2 linked regions of the Struthio camelus genome follow. Each later gene encodes a partner of the first gene's protein in a complex. Links are inferred from orthologs where the notes say so. Each region holds a gene or a part of one and is shown in the gene's direction. Other genes may lie near its edges.

Region 1 (7,439 bases):
CTCAGCAGCTCCAGCATATCAATGTGCTGCTCTCCCTGCTGCTACTAGGGCTGCTATCAGTGCAGCAACACCCCCTTGGCCAGGAATCCAATAAGGACACTACAGGGGCGGGCTATAGCCAGGAGCAGCCATAGCAGCAGAAAGGCTGCTATAGGCACTGAGCCTGGGAGATATCACCTCACCTAGGAAACCCGAAGAAAGCCACACCTGGCTAGCAGGCGGCATCACCTCCCTGGTGCCCGGGGCAAGGACCTGATTAACCCTCCGCAGTGGGGTTTCTCCCAGCCAGGCGTTATCCAGAGGAGCCCAGCTGTGCACTGGGCTGTGGAGGCTAGTACGTCAGCCTCCTATGCGCCCACCCGGCTGCATCTGTAGGCTTTGCTACAGGCTGAGTCCTTGCTTGGGGGAGCAGGAGTTTCAGCAGCGCCAAGCCTGGGGTAGCCTCCCCTGCGGGAAAGCAAACACGCCAATCTGTGTCTGGCTTTGCCCTGGCAGCCTACGTACAGGAAGCAGCTGTAGGGACAGCGCAGTCCAGGTTATGCAAGCTCTTACTCAAGATTACTTCTCCCCATTTCTACAGAAATTGCTTCCTGGCCCACAACACCACACTGTGCTTAAGCCCTAGCTTTTCCTTAGAGAGCCACTTTTTACCAGATCTTACTCCTAGCCTCTTCACTAGTTTCCGCACGTGCGTGTCTTATCTTCATACAGCAGTGCTTTCAGCTGGTTCATTCAGGGCTGGGAAGATAAAAGCCTGGGAGGGTGCAGCTATTTTCCCTGTAGCTTGTAGTTCCTGCAATGAACAGCGCGTGCAGCCGGGATAGTCTGAATTCCACAGACCAGTCTACACTGCGCCGATGCTGGGCATTTGCAGGCTAGTATAGCACCTCAAACTGTGTCACATTAGGACTACAGGTACAAAGGATCAAATTCTGTAAACATTCATCTCAGATGTCATGTAGAAATAACTGGAGAAATCAGCAGCAGTATTTTTTTGCACCCGAGTGTGTTCAATTCATTGTATTTCTGGTAAATTTTGGGACTTGCTATGCGTAAGTAGTAATGGCATAAATAGTAATCTGCCTTCTTCCTATAAAGCTTAAAAAAAAAATCAGCACAGCTCTAGATTCCTTAAACTCTTTATTCTGAAATTCTGTAGGAAGGGATCAAAAGGATATGTGATACATCTTTCTTTTCATCTTTTCCCATTCATTTCTTCTGATTAGTTAATTTCCTTACCAGCAAGTACTCAGGAACTCAGTCTCCTGGGTACGTTTGCTTTTCTGGAGTCATGTTTTCTGAGCCAGATACGGAGTTCTAAGTCAGGCAAAACTTCCGTGGTCCAACATGACTTAATCTGAACACAGCTTTTATACTGACACTACTACCCTGGATGTTTCAAATATGTTACAGGATGTTTCAAAATTCTCTCCTCCCCCTCTCAAACTCTTAATAGCACCATAGGCTAAAGCACAGATACACAGAACAACAGCTCTAATTACAGTAGTTGCACAACTGCAGTAACAAGGAGCTTCAGAGTATGACTAAGGAACTACATCCTAGACTAACAAGCAGGAAGCTTAAAGTGCAGCAAAGAAAGAATGAAGGCCTGTAACAGGTATGCACGGTAATAGCTAAAGCAGGACTCGCTGACCAGGAGATATAGCATTTAAAGATATATAACATGATTTCAACATGTGGGGCTGCTAGTGACTAGCACATGACTATATACTTAGCATAAAGGAATGAATCAATTAGCACATGATAGGAAATCATAACGAATGGCATAATGTCTGAAATAATGCATATGGGATGGATTAGAAGCAGCTGTAGCTCCGAGTCTTTGGATTCAGTAATAGTGCTAGCATTTGTACAGCGATATATGTTCAACAGGATCCTGGACCTGTTTGATCTCATAATTAACCTCAGAAAAAAGAAAAAAACAAAACAAAACGAAAACATAAACCCCCCTACTTTCCAGATGGATCAGCTCCCAAAACAAGGGTGGGAGTGGCAACACACAGCTAAAGCAGAGCACAGTTACCTCTTTCCAACACAAGCGCACTGCAGATTTAGGTTAGGTAAAACTGATCAGGTAACTATATTTTTTGGCACCACTACTTTCAGTCTGATCCCCAGTATACAGCTTCGAGCTCGCTCTTTGCCCTAGGTTTGTTTATTTACTCGGGTGCCTAAGTCATAAATCAAACACTTAATTGCACTGTAGACCTAGGGAAGTTCAAAGGGGTTGAGGGGCTGCTCCTTCAAAGAGGTGGAATGAGAAATGAGCGTTGGGGCAGGCATTTGTGGCCAAGGAGGGGGCAGCCGGCATGGCAGGAGAAGCTGGGATCCCCAGCGCGGCAGCAGTGGTGAGGGGGAAACACAGACCTTGGAAGCAGCAGCACACAGCTCCGTGGTATATAGATGCCTTAAAGAGTCTGTTCCTCTTTCCAGATGGAAATTAATATAGAGTATCTATAAATAATGAGTAGCTTTCAATACTAATAAAACTTCACCAAAATTTCATGGTTGCTGTATAGCTTTCATCATTGCTAAATAACAAGGACAAGGCCTGTAGGGGTGGTTAGGCTTACTTAGGCATAGCTGGGAACTATAGACAAGCTTTTGGCACAAAATCCTTCTTCAGGTGTGAAACATATAAAACAGATTTTCAAGTGAAACACAAATTGAAAACCGTTTTTCAGAGAGACTAGTTAGATGTGTAAGAGTTGGACGACCTCTGAAGGTAAACGTGGCTGGTCCCCACAGCGAAAGGATGTTAGTAGTGAGGGAGGAGGAGGGAAAGAGGTTAAAAAAACCCTATGTGACTTTGTATACAAAACAGCCTTTTAACAGGGCTTATCTGCATGAGCATCGGAGGAGTTCCCATTAGAATTAGCTGCCTCCAGTTCCTTCCAGTTGTGCTGTATTTCTCCTTGTCATTTTTTGCCATATCTTCACATCTTTTTGTCTCGTTTTACTGGTTGTCTTTTCATGTCTTGTTTCTCCCCACTCTCACCTTCCCCAGTCCCACAAGCATTACAAGTCCTAGCAAGTAGCTGATGTATTAATTAACTTCAACTATAACCTAGCAGTCTCTCACTTTTTGATTTCGCTAGGAGCAACAAAGCAATGCAAAATAACGTAATCACTCTGATGACAGGACTTCATTGGCAACCACTGGAAGCTCTACAAGGGAAAAAACAGTTATATTTGGAAGAACTCCATAAGCAGACAGTATTCCCACTAAAACACAATGGCAGAAACAGAAGTTACAATCACAAGCCAAAAGTGTAAATAAGAAGTTGGAAACTACTTGGATAAGAAAACAAACTGAGAAACGTTTGGTTCAACTTCTCTCCGCCAGGAAGCTCATACAATAAATAGCCAAGCATGTATGCTGTAGTAAGAAATAGCAGCAGAGGACACTCTCAAATTGGGACAGTCGTCATTTTAATTTCAGATGAATCAAGGGTTCTGTGAGCCTGGTACTCAGGACCTTGTAATCTGGTAACATTCACATACACTTTACTGAACGCTCAAGCCTAAACGCTGATCTCAGTTACACCGCTAGAAAGCCTACTAAATACGCTCCAAGAGTGAGTGACACCAGGTTATGCGGTACAACGATGGGGGATTATTTAGAGTGAAAAGATAAGCAGAAGAGAGCGGTAATTAAATTAAACACGCCTATCTCTTTGTGGAATCAGTTCCCAGGCAGGATCTAAAATTCAAACCCAAGTCTCTCTCGACTGCTGAAAAGATGCTTACCGAAACTGTTTATTTTACTCTAACGCGTACGGGTGGCTTTTTAAAATATTCCGTTTTGGGGCTTGCCCTGGAAAAATAATAAAGTAGCACAAAAAAAGAATGACTTCCAGAACAAGGTAGGAAGTTTGTGTTTTGGATTATTGTTTCTGAACAGGCAGGATTTTGGATACACAGCAGCCTGCACTTTGCCGCGGAAGTTGGCCGAAAGGCGCAGCTGTCTCTACACAGGCTTGCAAGACTCTCCGCTGCTAACTCTCCTTGCCAGCAAGTATTATACCCTGCTGCCCTTGAATAGCACAAGGCAACTGAGGAAAAACAAAGCAAACTTACAGTGTTTTAACCAGATAGTCACAGGCAACAGAAAAACCCTTTTCCGCAGATCACCACCCCCCCCCCCGAGAAAGCAAGGAGCCCACTCAAGCCGCAGCCCCCACTCATTTCATCACCAGGGCCAAGGCCACCCTCCTCCGGCCGCAGCGAACGGGCGAGGCACGGACCGAGGAAACCCCCAGCCCAGCCCCCGAGGAGCAGGACCCTAGGAAAAATATCCCCTTAGTTTAAACACAGAAGGAGCCAGGGCCGGCGGGGCGGTGGCCGCCGCGGCAGCCACCTTCCCGCCGGCCGGCCCTCCCCTTCCCTCCGCGCCGCCCTGCAGCGCCCCCTGGCGGCGTCGGAGCCCGCGGCAATGGCGGCTCCCACGGCCCACGCGTGAGCCCTTCTGTCGACCGCCGCGCCGTGAGTGGGGGGGGGCAGCGGGGGCCGGGGCGCGGTGAGGGCGGTTACGGCCGTTAGGGCGGGGCCCCAGCCCCCTCCCTTGGCGCGCTCGGCGCTGCACAAAATGGCGGCCGCGGGGCCAGCTCTGGAGGGGAGCTGTGGGGAGCGGGGGTGGAGGGGCAGCGAGGGGGCTGAGACGGGGGGGGGGGGGGAGTTTACATTCAAGGCGATCGCACACCTGAAAAGCAGTGTTGAATGCAAGGAACCGCGGGCGTGTTTAAAAAAGGCAATAGCGGTGCAGATGCAAGTGAGATAACCTAGGCCCGGAACAGCTGTCCAGCCAGGTGTCCCAGTTCCTGCGAAGCGCGCAGGCTTAGCCGAGTAAGAGGATGAGGCAGCGCAGTAATTACCACGCACATCATCTCACAGCGCGATTACTAGAACAGTTTTAATGGTAATTTTATATTTAAATACATCTTAACTGTTTTTAGAAACGGTGCACGAGGCAGATGCATCTCGTAGGCTTTAAGCAAAAGCCAATAAGCCGAAAACGGTTGAGTAATTATAAAGCTCTGAGGACTGGCTTCCTCTAAGGCTGGTTTCGGCTACTTACATAAATATAAGTATCATTTCCAGAGGCCGCGCTGCCCAGGGCCTGTGCTGGCGAGGATGAGCTGGAGAAGGCGCAGGATGCAGTCGCTTGGGCCCCAGTACGCAGAGGGCGACGGGGGTGCGGGGACACGTGAATTTAAAGCAAGTCAGCCGTGGTGACTCTTGTCTACCTACCGAGAAACCTCGGGCCGGATTTACTTTGTCACTCACATACAGCTTGAGAAGTGATTGATGCTCCTTAAGCATGTATTTAATATTCATTCTGATGCCACAAAGGGAAAAAATTGCTATTTCTCCCCCCCCCCCCTTTTAAAAATCCAAGCCCTCCTGTTAAGATCACTCTTGTCACTAAACCAGACTAGTTTCCCCCATCCCTTTTTACTGTACATTTTATCATTTTAAAACGTTTAATATTTTACACAGCAGCATCTCTGAGGTTTGGTGTACTTCATTCATTTCTTCCTAGTGAACCAGATGGGAGACCTGATCTGATTTGAAACTAACTCAGCAAACTCCCCCTGCCTCCCGGCCTGCCTGGTTTTAACCCAGACCAATTACTTTCTGCTGATTTACATGAACTCTTAAAGCACCATAAGCGAGTGGGTAGTGCAGAGTGGGCAGGATTGCCTGATTTTGATAAAGTATTGAACCATACACGTGAGCCTCCCCCCTCAGGCCAGCTTCACAGGTTGGAGTAATAGCAGGCTGTCACAGCAAGATGGCCCTGTTCCACTGCCCCAGCCACTGCACGGTTTGTATCAAAAACCAAGCGGATCCCTAAATCTGAAAGTTGATTTTCCGTTGTATTTGCAGCTTGCAAAACCCTGCAGCTATGCAGTCCAGCAGGAGGGAGGGAGAAGGGGCGAGAGCACCTCTTTCAGCAGAAACAGCCATGCTTAGGTGCTGCATTAAACTGACTCTTAGCCTTTTGGTTTGAGTCTATGCTTTGACTCACAAATTTGAGTGGTAAACCAAGATTTCATTTCATGCAGTAGCCCATGTTGAAGTTTTTCATACTTGAATGGAGGTTCACGTAGAAAAGACAGATGTGTGCATGTTGATGCAGAGATGACAAAATACTGCATTTTTGGCAGCCTGCTGCATCAAGATTTTTTTTTCTTAGTTAACACTTGAAAAGAATTGCTGGTCCTCAACTTCTTAACTTTTCTTTGCATTTTATGTTATATGTTCACTGGCTGATTTTGGATATTTCAACATCTTAACAATTGACACTTTGCTAGTTTAAGATAACATAATAATTTATTACATTTATTTCCCCTAAGACAGAAGGGATTCTCACCAAGAGGGGAATGAAAAGGTTAGTCAAATGTAATAAAGTGATTTTTTATTGTTAGATGAGCTTTAATTTGGATTCCTGTAAATTGAATGAAAAAAAAACATGGAGAATGGAGATAAGGCGCTTTTGTGATTAGAAGAAAAATAAAACCGAAACCCTTCATTACTATCTTGCAGCTTTTTCTAAGTAGCACTTTGCTGTTGCAGTTCTGGAATTAATGAAGTGTGCATGGATTATTGCAGTACATATTTCACTTCAAAGCTGGTTATTGCCTAGAAGTTGGAGGCTCTGCATGGCTGTTGAAACATACTTATCTTGGCCACTTTTCTAATACAAGTTTTGGGGTTTTGCCTCAATGCCGGAGTAGCAAAAAGAGTAAAATAAATCCTTACATTTGCAGATCTGACCCCAGCATAACAGGAGGAAGAACTGATGCTGGGGGTTTTCACTAGACTTAGCATATTATAGCTGAGTATTGTCACCCACCCAAAGGGACAGGCATACGCATGTCTTCTCCAATAACATGGCACTTGACCTTTAGTTTATACCTGCCACAGGCTACTCAACACAGATGAATGTGACTTACCTACTAAACGCCAGAGCTGCATTCAAGCATTGCTATTTCACAACAGTTTCTCTTATTTGACCCAGAATAACTTACCTAAGGAAGTCTGCAGGACAGACTTTAGAGCGGCTCTGAGGATTATGTGATGGCAAACCTAGTTGTGGTTGTTCTGAGAATTATAACTGATCTCGAGATACAGATTTAAAGGCCACGTCAGTTCTAGCGTAGTTCTGTGCAGAGAGACCTCACCACAGGTCTGACTGTTGACTGTACTGAAGAAGCCACAGAAGCCAAAGTCAGCAGCAGATGTGCATGAACACTTGATCTTGAAATGTTTGCCTATTCAATGGAAAAGAAAAAACCTAGTTAGATTTTTCTTTTTGTCCATAGAGCTGTCCACGACTAGGTTGAGAACTTAGAGTATGATTTTGCATAGCTGAGGAGGTTGCAGAAAAAGGCCGTATTGTTTCTCGGTTTTTC
Region 2 (6,971 bases), on another chromosome or scaffold:
CTATGTTACCTGGAATTGCTGGTTAGTACTCCTGTGTGCTTTCTCTCCCACTCACTGGAAAACATTTTTCCTAAAGACCTCCAAGAACTTGACTTCCTATACTTTCCCCAAGGCACAAAACTGCAGTAGTAATCATTTCTGTGGTGGTAGGAGAGAGCCCAAGAAGCTATTAAAATTAACTTGATGAATTCCACCTCATACTACTTCCTTCCCCCAGTTAACTGGAAAGAGCAAAAACATCTGCGGGCGAGCACTTCAGACAATCTGGTACACCCTCTAGAACTGTTCAACAACAGGCTTCAGGCCATACAATATTTCTCACAAAATTTATTTGCCGTTGGTTGCTTTCTTGAAATGTTTGAGTTTCCGATGACAGCTCTTGAATTTCTTCTTCAAAGGACCTGACTGTTTCTGCGAAGAGAGAATATTCGAATCAGCTTTTTTCCAAAAAGTAAATCCAGCCCTGCCTGAGATGACTTAAAGAATTTAGTAGTAGTCTCCTGTCTCACTTGATACAGAACAAGCCCAGTCCTGGTCACAGAGGACAGGGGGCCAGGCAGGATGTTTCCCTACAGAAGGGATGCAAGCTAGCATCCCCTTTTCTGACAGGGGCACGATAGATTCACTAGACACAGATGCTGACAGCCTCCCCATAGAAATGAATCTAAACTTCAGCTGGTTTGATGCAGTTAAAAAAGAATCCCAGCCCCTTCCTCAGGGCTGCCCTTTACAGTTAAAGGTTTGTGCATAATTTATGTATGTAGCATCTAATCCAGTTGCTTCCCAAACTGAGAAGGATCAGGATGCATCCTCCTGTAAGCACATCCGAAGGCAAGAGCTTACCAGTTCCTCAAAAGAGGCGGAGAAAAAAGGGCTAGAAGGACCAAATTGAATCCTGTAACTTGCAATCAAAAGGGCTTAACTAGTGCAGGGCCAGGGGAAAAGTATACAAGACCCACAGGATGCACATGATGTGAAGACAGTGTGCAGCAGGATGCAAACAATTTTTATAACTATAAGGGCAATAACATCCTTAGTCACAGCAGACAGGAGAAACGTTTACCAGTAGTAAATCACACCTCAGGATGCAAGTTAGTGGCTGACGCCTGGGGAAAGTCTACTCTCCCAAATAGCTTTACACCTTCTGCCAGTTCTTCTCACACAGTAATAGATGAGACAAACACCTATGGGATAGGAAGCCTGTTCCGTGCTCCCCTGCTGTTGCACATGGCAATACAACTCTTACCTTTCCCCTTTTGTTGCCAGCTGCTCTGCTAACATTCATTCTTCTGCCGTCCTCTCCATTCACATCACCATTCTCCCCAGTCAGCTTGGCCGTGTCTTCCTCATTGTCTGTTGCAAAGTCATCGCTGCCCTCTGCATTTTGTGGAGCTGCTGAGCTTTTTTCTGGGAAGAGTTCAGCTAAAACACAGAGACTCAGCTGAGGAGCAGTTTCCTCTGCAGCAGGAACCTACCACCTAACTTTTTACTTTGTGGGCATCTTAAAGGTGACCTGCCAAGCTGAAGTACCACATTCCAGTCTCTGAGCATTAGCCTCTGTCATACATGTGGCATACTGGAATACTTGGGGAATAAACACACTATGGTGGTTTATTAGAAATGTGCCTGGTGCTCTGTCTGCTCAACACAGACAGTTCTGTGGTCTTAAAAAAACAAAAAAAAAAAAAAACCCAATGCTCCTACAGGAAGGCAGTGTATTTTAGATGCAGGTCAGTGGAACTGGCACTGGCTTACTAACTCCTATTAGACTGCAAGACTTGCGGAGAAATCAGGAGTAGAGTTACCTGAAGAAGCACATCCCAGGGGATCTTGTAACCCTCCTCTCACATTTTGTGATCCGAGTCTGATTAGTTACTCAGTGATAACTGCTATTTCATATTTGGTGGTGGCAAGCTTTTCCCAAACCCAGGAACTCAGAACTGGATAAAAGTCACAAGCCTCCAGCATGCCTGCACATTGAAAGCTCTCCCTCCTGGCAGTGCATGAATAAATCATACCTGAGCTCTTTCTTCCAGTACAGCAAAGTAAAGCTCGCAGCTCCTTCCCAATGGCTCCATCTTTCCAGCTATATTCAACTATCTTTCTATCACTAAGTCCTACTCTTGCACTGGTAATAGAAATCCCACTGACCTAGCTTCCCAGAAGGGAGCAACACAAAGAGGCTGGAAGAAAAATAACTAACAACCTCTGTTTACGATATAGATGATACCAGTGTTCTTACTCACGTGGGTACAGATCACTCATACTGTCATCATCTGTCTCCTCTCCATCCTCATCACTGGACTTTGGCTCCCAGAATTCTTCTTTTCTGTAAGGCTGTCTGCTCCCATTCGTTTGGTCATCGGGATGCCGCCTCCGCTGCTTCTTCTGTCGCAAGCAGGCAGGGACATACTCCACTCCCTCCTTCTGGCACTCCTCATCTAGTAATGTGAGATATCAACCAGCGGTGAGCAAGGATACCCAATCACTTGATTCCTCATCCTTTCATTTCCAGCTACAGTCTATATTACATACAACTCAGAAGTACGTTAAGCTCTAACTCCGATACGCGTTCCTGTAATCCAGGATGATACTATGGGACCATGAAAGACAGAACAGATGTCAATACAGAAACCGTGCTGAACACATGAACCATCCTCTCTGGGGAAGCTTTAGAGCCGCTCCTTTCAAGTAAAGACATTCCAAGGTGTTTGCTAAAGAGGCCTTTTGCTCCCTATGCCTGGGGTTTTCCTTCCCGCCTAAGCGGCACATACAGCAACAGTGCTTCTGTCAGTCTACAGAAAACTTACCCGCTCACCGCATATGGAGTAACTGGAATCACAAAAGCTTAAGAAAAAAAAAGGTTGGATGACTGTATCTTCAGAAAAGTGACTTACATCTTTTTAGGGCCTTCTGATAGCGTTTCCCTTGGACATGACGCAGCACATGCTCTGGAAACTTGTTGATATGCCTGAGAGTGAGCTTGCAAAACAGCTGATGTCTTACAGACACAGAAAGAAAGAAAGAGCCAGCAACAGAGTTTAAGTCTACCATTAATTCATAATCTTTCACTCCTAAGCACTATGGTCAAAGCTAACAAATACTTTATAAAGACTTTCCTCACCTATCAAAAACCATAAACGCTCAAGAACTTCGCGCAAGCCACCCACTCTATTTGTGAGGCTGAATGAGGTGCGAAGCACAACATGCAAGAGGAAGAATACGTACAGATTCTTTGTGCTCGGCACTATATGTGGCTCAAACTTGCCATAGTCAAACTCTCTGGCCGTCTTTGTCAGCCTCTGATACTTCTTGCCATTAGTATAAGCCTGCAGCTCCGACATCCTACACGGCATCTCGTGGCCGGTCAGCCTGCATCTCACCTGAAGGAAGACAAGCAGGATAAAAGTGAGGAAAGCACAAGGGATGACGGCCGGGCTGCAGAGGGGAGGGCTCGTACCAGGGCCCTCCTCCCTGATGGCCTCAGTCCCACAGCGGGGAGAAAAACCTCCGGGCCAGGCAGCAACCTGGGGCCGAGCCCAGAGCCCAGGTGCTGGGGTGCCTTCCCCGGTCCCCCCGTGGCTCTCAGGGCAGGCGGCCCCGCTCCCCCCTCACGGGAGCCGGCTCCAGTCCCGGTCCCCTCCGCCCCCCGGGCTCCTCACGGAGGCGGCCGCAGTCCCGCTGCCCCCTCAGGGCCCCCTCGCAGGAGGCGGCCCCTCAGCCCCGCAGCGCAGGCCTCACCTTGCCCGGCTCCGCCAGGCCGAGGAGCGGGTGCTGCCGCAGGAAGAGCCGGACCTCCTGGGGCACCTCGGCCATGGCCGCGGCCGGGGAGGGGCAGGGGCGGCCGCCGCCGCCGCCATCGCCGCCGGGCATCTCCGCGCGGCCCCGCGCCTCGGCCTCGCCGCCCGGCGCCCGCATCATAGAGACGCTCTGCTAGACAGGAGCTCGCCTATACTTCCGGTCCGGGCCACGCCGGAAAGCAGCCGGTGGCATAGAGAGAGGCGGCTAGAGAGGAGCTTACCCGGCACGACCGGCGGGCGGTCTAGGCCGGAGGCGGGCGGGCGGCGAGGGGCCGGCGGCGGCGTTGCCATGGCGACCTGGCGGCTGCTGCGGGAGCCCCGGGCCCAGGTGCGGCGGGGGGCGGCGGCCCGGCGCCCCCCTCGGTGCCCCCCTCGGTGCCCTCGGGGGAGGCGGCCCCGGTCCGGGCCTGGTGTCCCCCTGCGGGACGCCACCAGGTGGATTGGTTAAAAACCGATCCTTTTGGGAAAAAAAAAAACAAACCACGGTTTGGTAGCGCAGAGAGCGTTTGTCGCGGTCTAGTGAGCGGCGTAAGCGGGGTGGAGTTTCATTTCCTCGGAGTTACAGCCTAAACTGTGGTGCTTGGCCGGTGGTTGCCCAGAGGAGGCTTAAATACAGCAGGAAACGAAACCTGCCACCCTGGAGGCAGCTGGCACCGTCTCGGGGCAAACGTCGCCGAGCGGAGTCACTGCAAAGGGTCGTTTTTGTTTCCCGTAGGTGTCCTGTGGCTTGGTCAGACGAGCATGTTTCGGATGTCCTCTCACTGAAGCGCGTTCTGGTCTGCTGCAGCGCACTAAAGGTAAGGAAAGGTTTAGCCGAGGCGTCCGCCCCGTTTCTGCCTTACTCCAGCCGTGACGTTTTCTGCGGGACTTTGGCACCTTTTCTGCAATACGAAGCCGCTTCCTCGTTCTGGTTTTCTCCAGACCTTTGCTTGAGGCCGTGCAGACCGCGAAGCTCTACAGCAGCCGCTGGCGCATCTGAAGAGGGTGTCTTACTCAAGTGGGGCCTTCTCCTTGTCCCTCTGACCACCTTCTGCCTTGGCACATGGCAGGTACAAATAAATATTTCGTTCTTCCATGAGAGAAGAGCTTAAGGGCTGTCTGGTGGTTCCATCCTCGGCTGTTTAATGTGAGCTAGTTCACACCACAGCCAGGGTAAAGATTGGAAGATACTTTTTCATATATAGTTTTCCTAGTTACCGTTTGTGAGTTTCATGTAAGTCTTTGAATGAGAGATTCATTTATTTTACTTTTATGTCAGTATTTCTTCTCTCCCCAAATGAAGTTAGTAGCCTCCATTTTTGAATCTGCAATTATGTTGCTTTAGGCCACATCTGAAGAGAAAATACCGATAAAAGAAGCAGACTCTGTTTTCAGCCTTGCCAGGTTATTACACTGCTCTGTTCTACCAGTGGGAATTACTCTGTGTATTTCCAGGTTCAGCGACGAAAGTGGAAATTGGATTTGATTGCGCAGTTGGCGTCAAGAATTGCAGCAGAGCCCATCCCTCTGACATTAGAGTAAGGAAGCTGAGATGTTGCAGTTTGCTGTCTGCCAAGTACTGCCAGTGTGCTGGGGGTACTAGTTATGGTCCCTACGCTCTACAACATGTAGTCTATGTTAAACTAAACTGCATGCAAATGAAGAAATGCAATGGGAATCAGAATGCGCAAGCAAATTCACAGGATAGACAGTCGTGTTCGTTCTCTTGTTTCAAATGCATATTGCAAACACCTCCCTGTGGGATACTCTAAAGGCATCTAAAGGGGTCAAATCTCTGTTCTGGAGACTGTGGTATGTAATTCAGCCTGGAGAAAGAGGGTTTGGGAGTTGTTGCCCAAGATGTCCCAGAGGAGGGGGTTACTGAGCACCGCTGAAGAAAGATTGGTTGTTGCTGTACAGTATTCCTGCAGCAAGGGAGTCTTAGAACGATAGCAAGCTCTGCCCCAAGTGCAGAGCAGTTGGGTCAGATACAAGAGAGAGTTTTAAGGTCACTTTAGCCATATGGTACAACTGTCAACACAGTTCAGTAGTTCTATTTCACAGTCTGGGATGGGAAAGAAATGCTCCCTGTTGGCATGATGTACACGCAGTGTGTCACCTGCTGTCTCGCTGTGTGCATCGTGTGCATCACTGAAGTGGTATTCAGTTACAGATATCATGGAAAAGAGCTGTGCTCTAGATGCTCATGATCTTAGTGATTTGACTTACTATGATAGTAACAAAATCTTAAGCCAAGCTGCTTATACCAGGAGGTACTTGTCTTCTCTTTCTGTTTGCCAGCTGGACCTAGAGAAAATCATGGGGAGAAGGAGAATCCCATAATAAAATTCCCTGGTTTGATCTGTCTACCACAGCCGTGATTTTGTTTTCACCTTGTTCCATGCAGCCCTATGGAACTGAAAGAATTAGAGTACAGGCCTGTAAAGGTCCGAGGGCATTTTGACCACTCCAAGGAGCTCTATATTTTGCCACGGTCACTTGTGGACCCTGAACGAGAAGCGAGAGAAGCCGGACGGCTGACATCCAACCCAGAAAACGGAGCAAATGTAGTTACTCCTTTCTACTGCACAGACCTAGGGTAAGTGTGTTCATGCACAAGCCTGAGAACATGTGTATGTGTAGTTAATTAAAGTCATGCTTTATCCGAGCTGAATCTTAGTGGCTGGGTTTATGTGAAGCACTCACTGTCCTTTAAAAGGTCTCTGTCTCTCACAACCTGTTAAGTCGCAGAGGCTTGCTTCCAAGTTGTATCTGAAATCCCTTATAACGTGCACTCAAATGACAAAAAAGTGGCACCAAACATATGGGTTGCTTCTTTTTTTCGCTACCAAGCTCTAGGCAGCGGCAGGAATAATGAACAATTTCCTTTCTCTAATGAGCTGTATTTGTCCTCTTTATGTAACTCTAGCGTCACGATTTTAGTCAACCGAGGATTTGTGCCCAAAAAGAAATTGAAACCAGAGACCAGGCTAAAGGGACAGGTAAGAGGAACAGAGGGAAGCTTTCCCTATTACTTTCTACTCAGTGAATACCAAAAGAGACACTATTGGCAAAAAAAGGCAGTAGCCGCGTTCAGCATCATGGGAGGTTACTTAAATACGGAGTCATTGCACTTCTCAAAGAAAGTACTTTTCCTCCCGCCTTTTTATTGAGTACATAAAGTGTTTTTAC

What was found.
Region 2: COA1 (region 1) and SURF1 share a complex: the UniProt entries of both Homo sapiens proteins name them as parts of the MITRAC (mitochondrial translation regulation assembly intermediate of cytochrome c oxidase complex) complex. The link is inferred for Struthio camelus from reciprocal best matches to the Homo sapiens genes COA1 and SURF1.

Annotation. Positions count from the first base shown.
Region 1 is NC_090943.1:60,050,074-60,057,512, reverse strand, and holds the start of COA1 (cytochrome c oxidase assembly factor 1 homolog), read left to right. Parts: upstream 1-4,435; 5' UTR 4,436-4,506; intron 4,507-5,098; exon of another isoform or gene 5,099-5,290; intron 5,291-7,055; exon of another isoform or gene 7,056-7,298; intron 7,299-7,439. UniProt on the Homo sapiens protein: Component of the MITRAC (mitochondrial translation regulation assembly intermediate of cytochrome c oxidase complex) complex, that regulates cytochrome c oxidase assembly.
Region 2 is NC_090961.1:5,150,214-5,157,184, forward strand, and holds the start of SURF1 (surfeit locus protein 1), read left to right. Parts: upstream 1-3,964; 5' UTR 3,965-4,089; coding exon 4,090-4,128; intron 4,129-4,515; coding exon 4,516-4,597; intron 4,598-4,721; coding exon 4,722-4,849; intron 4,850-5,234; coding exon 5,235-5,317; intron 5,318-6,186; coding exon 6,187-6,378; intron 6,379-6,708; coding exon 6,709-6,781; intron 6,782-6,971. Other genes in the region: SURF2 (surfeit locus protein 2), read right to left, coding at 328-411, 1,247-1,422, 2,247-2,441, 2,898-3,001, 3,229-3,383, 3,742-3,921. UniProt on the Homo sapiens protein: Component of the MITRAC (mitochondrial translation regulation assembly intermediate of cytochrome c oxidase complex) complex, that regulates cytochrome c oxidase assembly.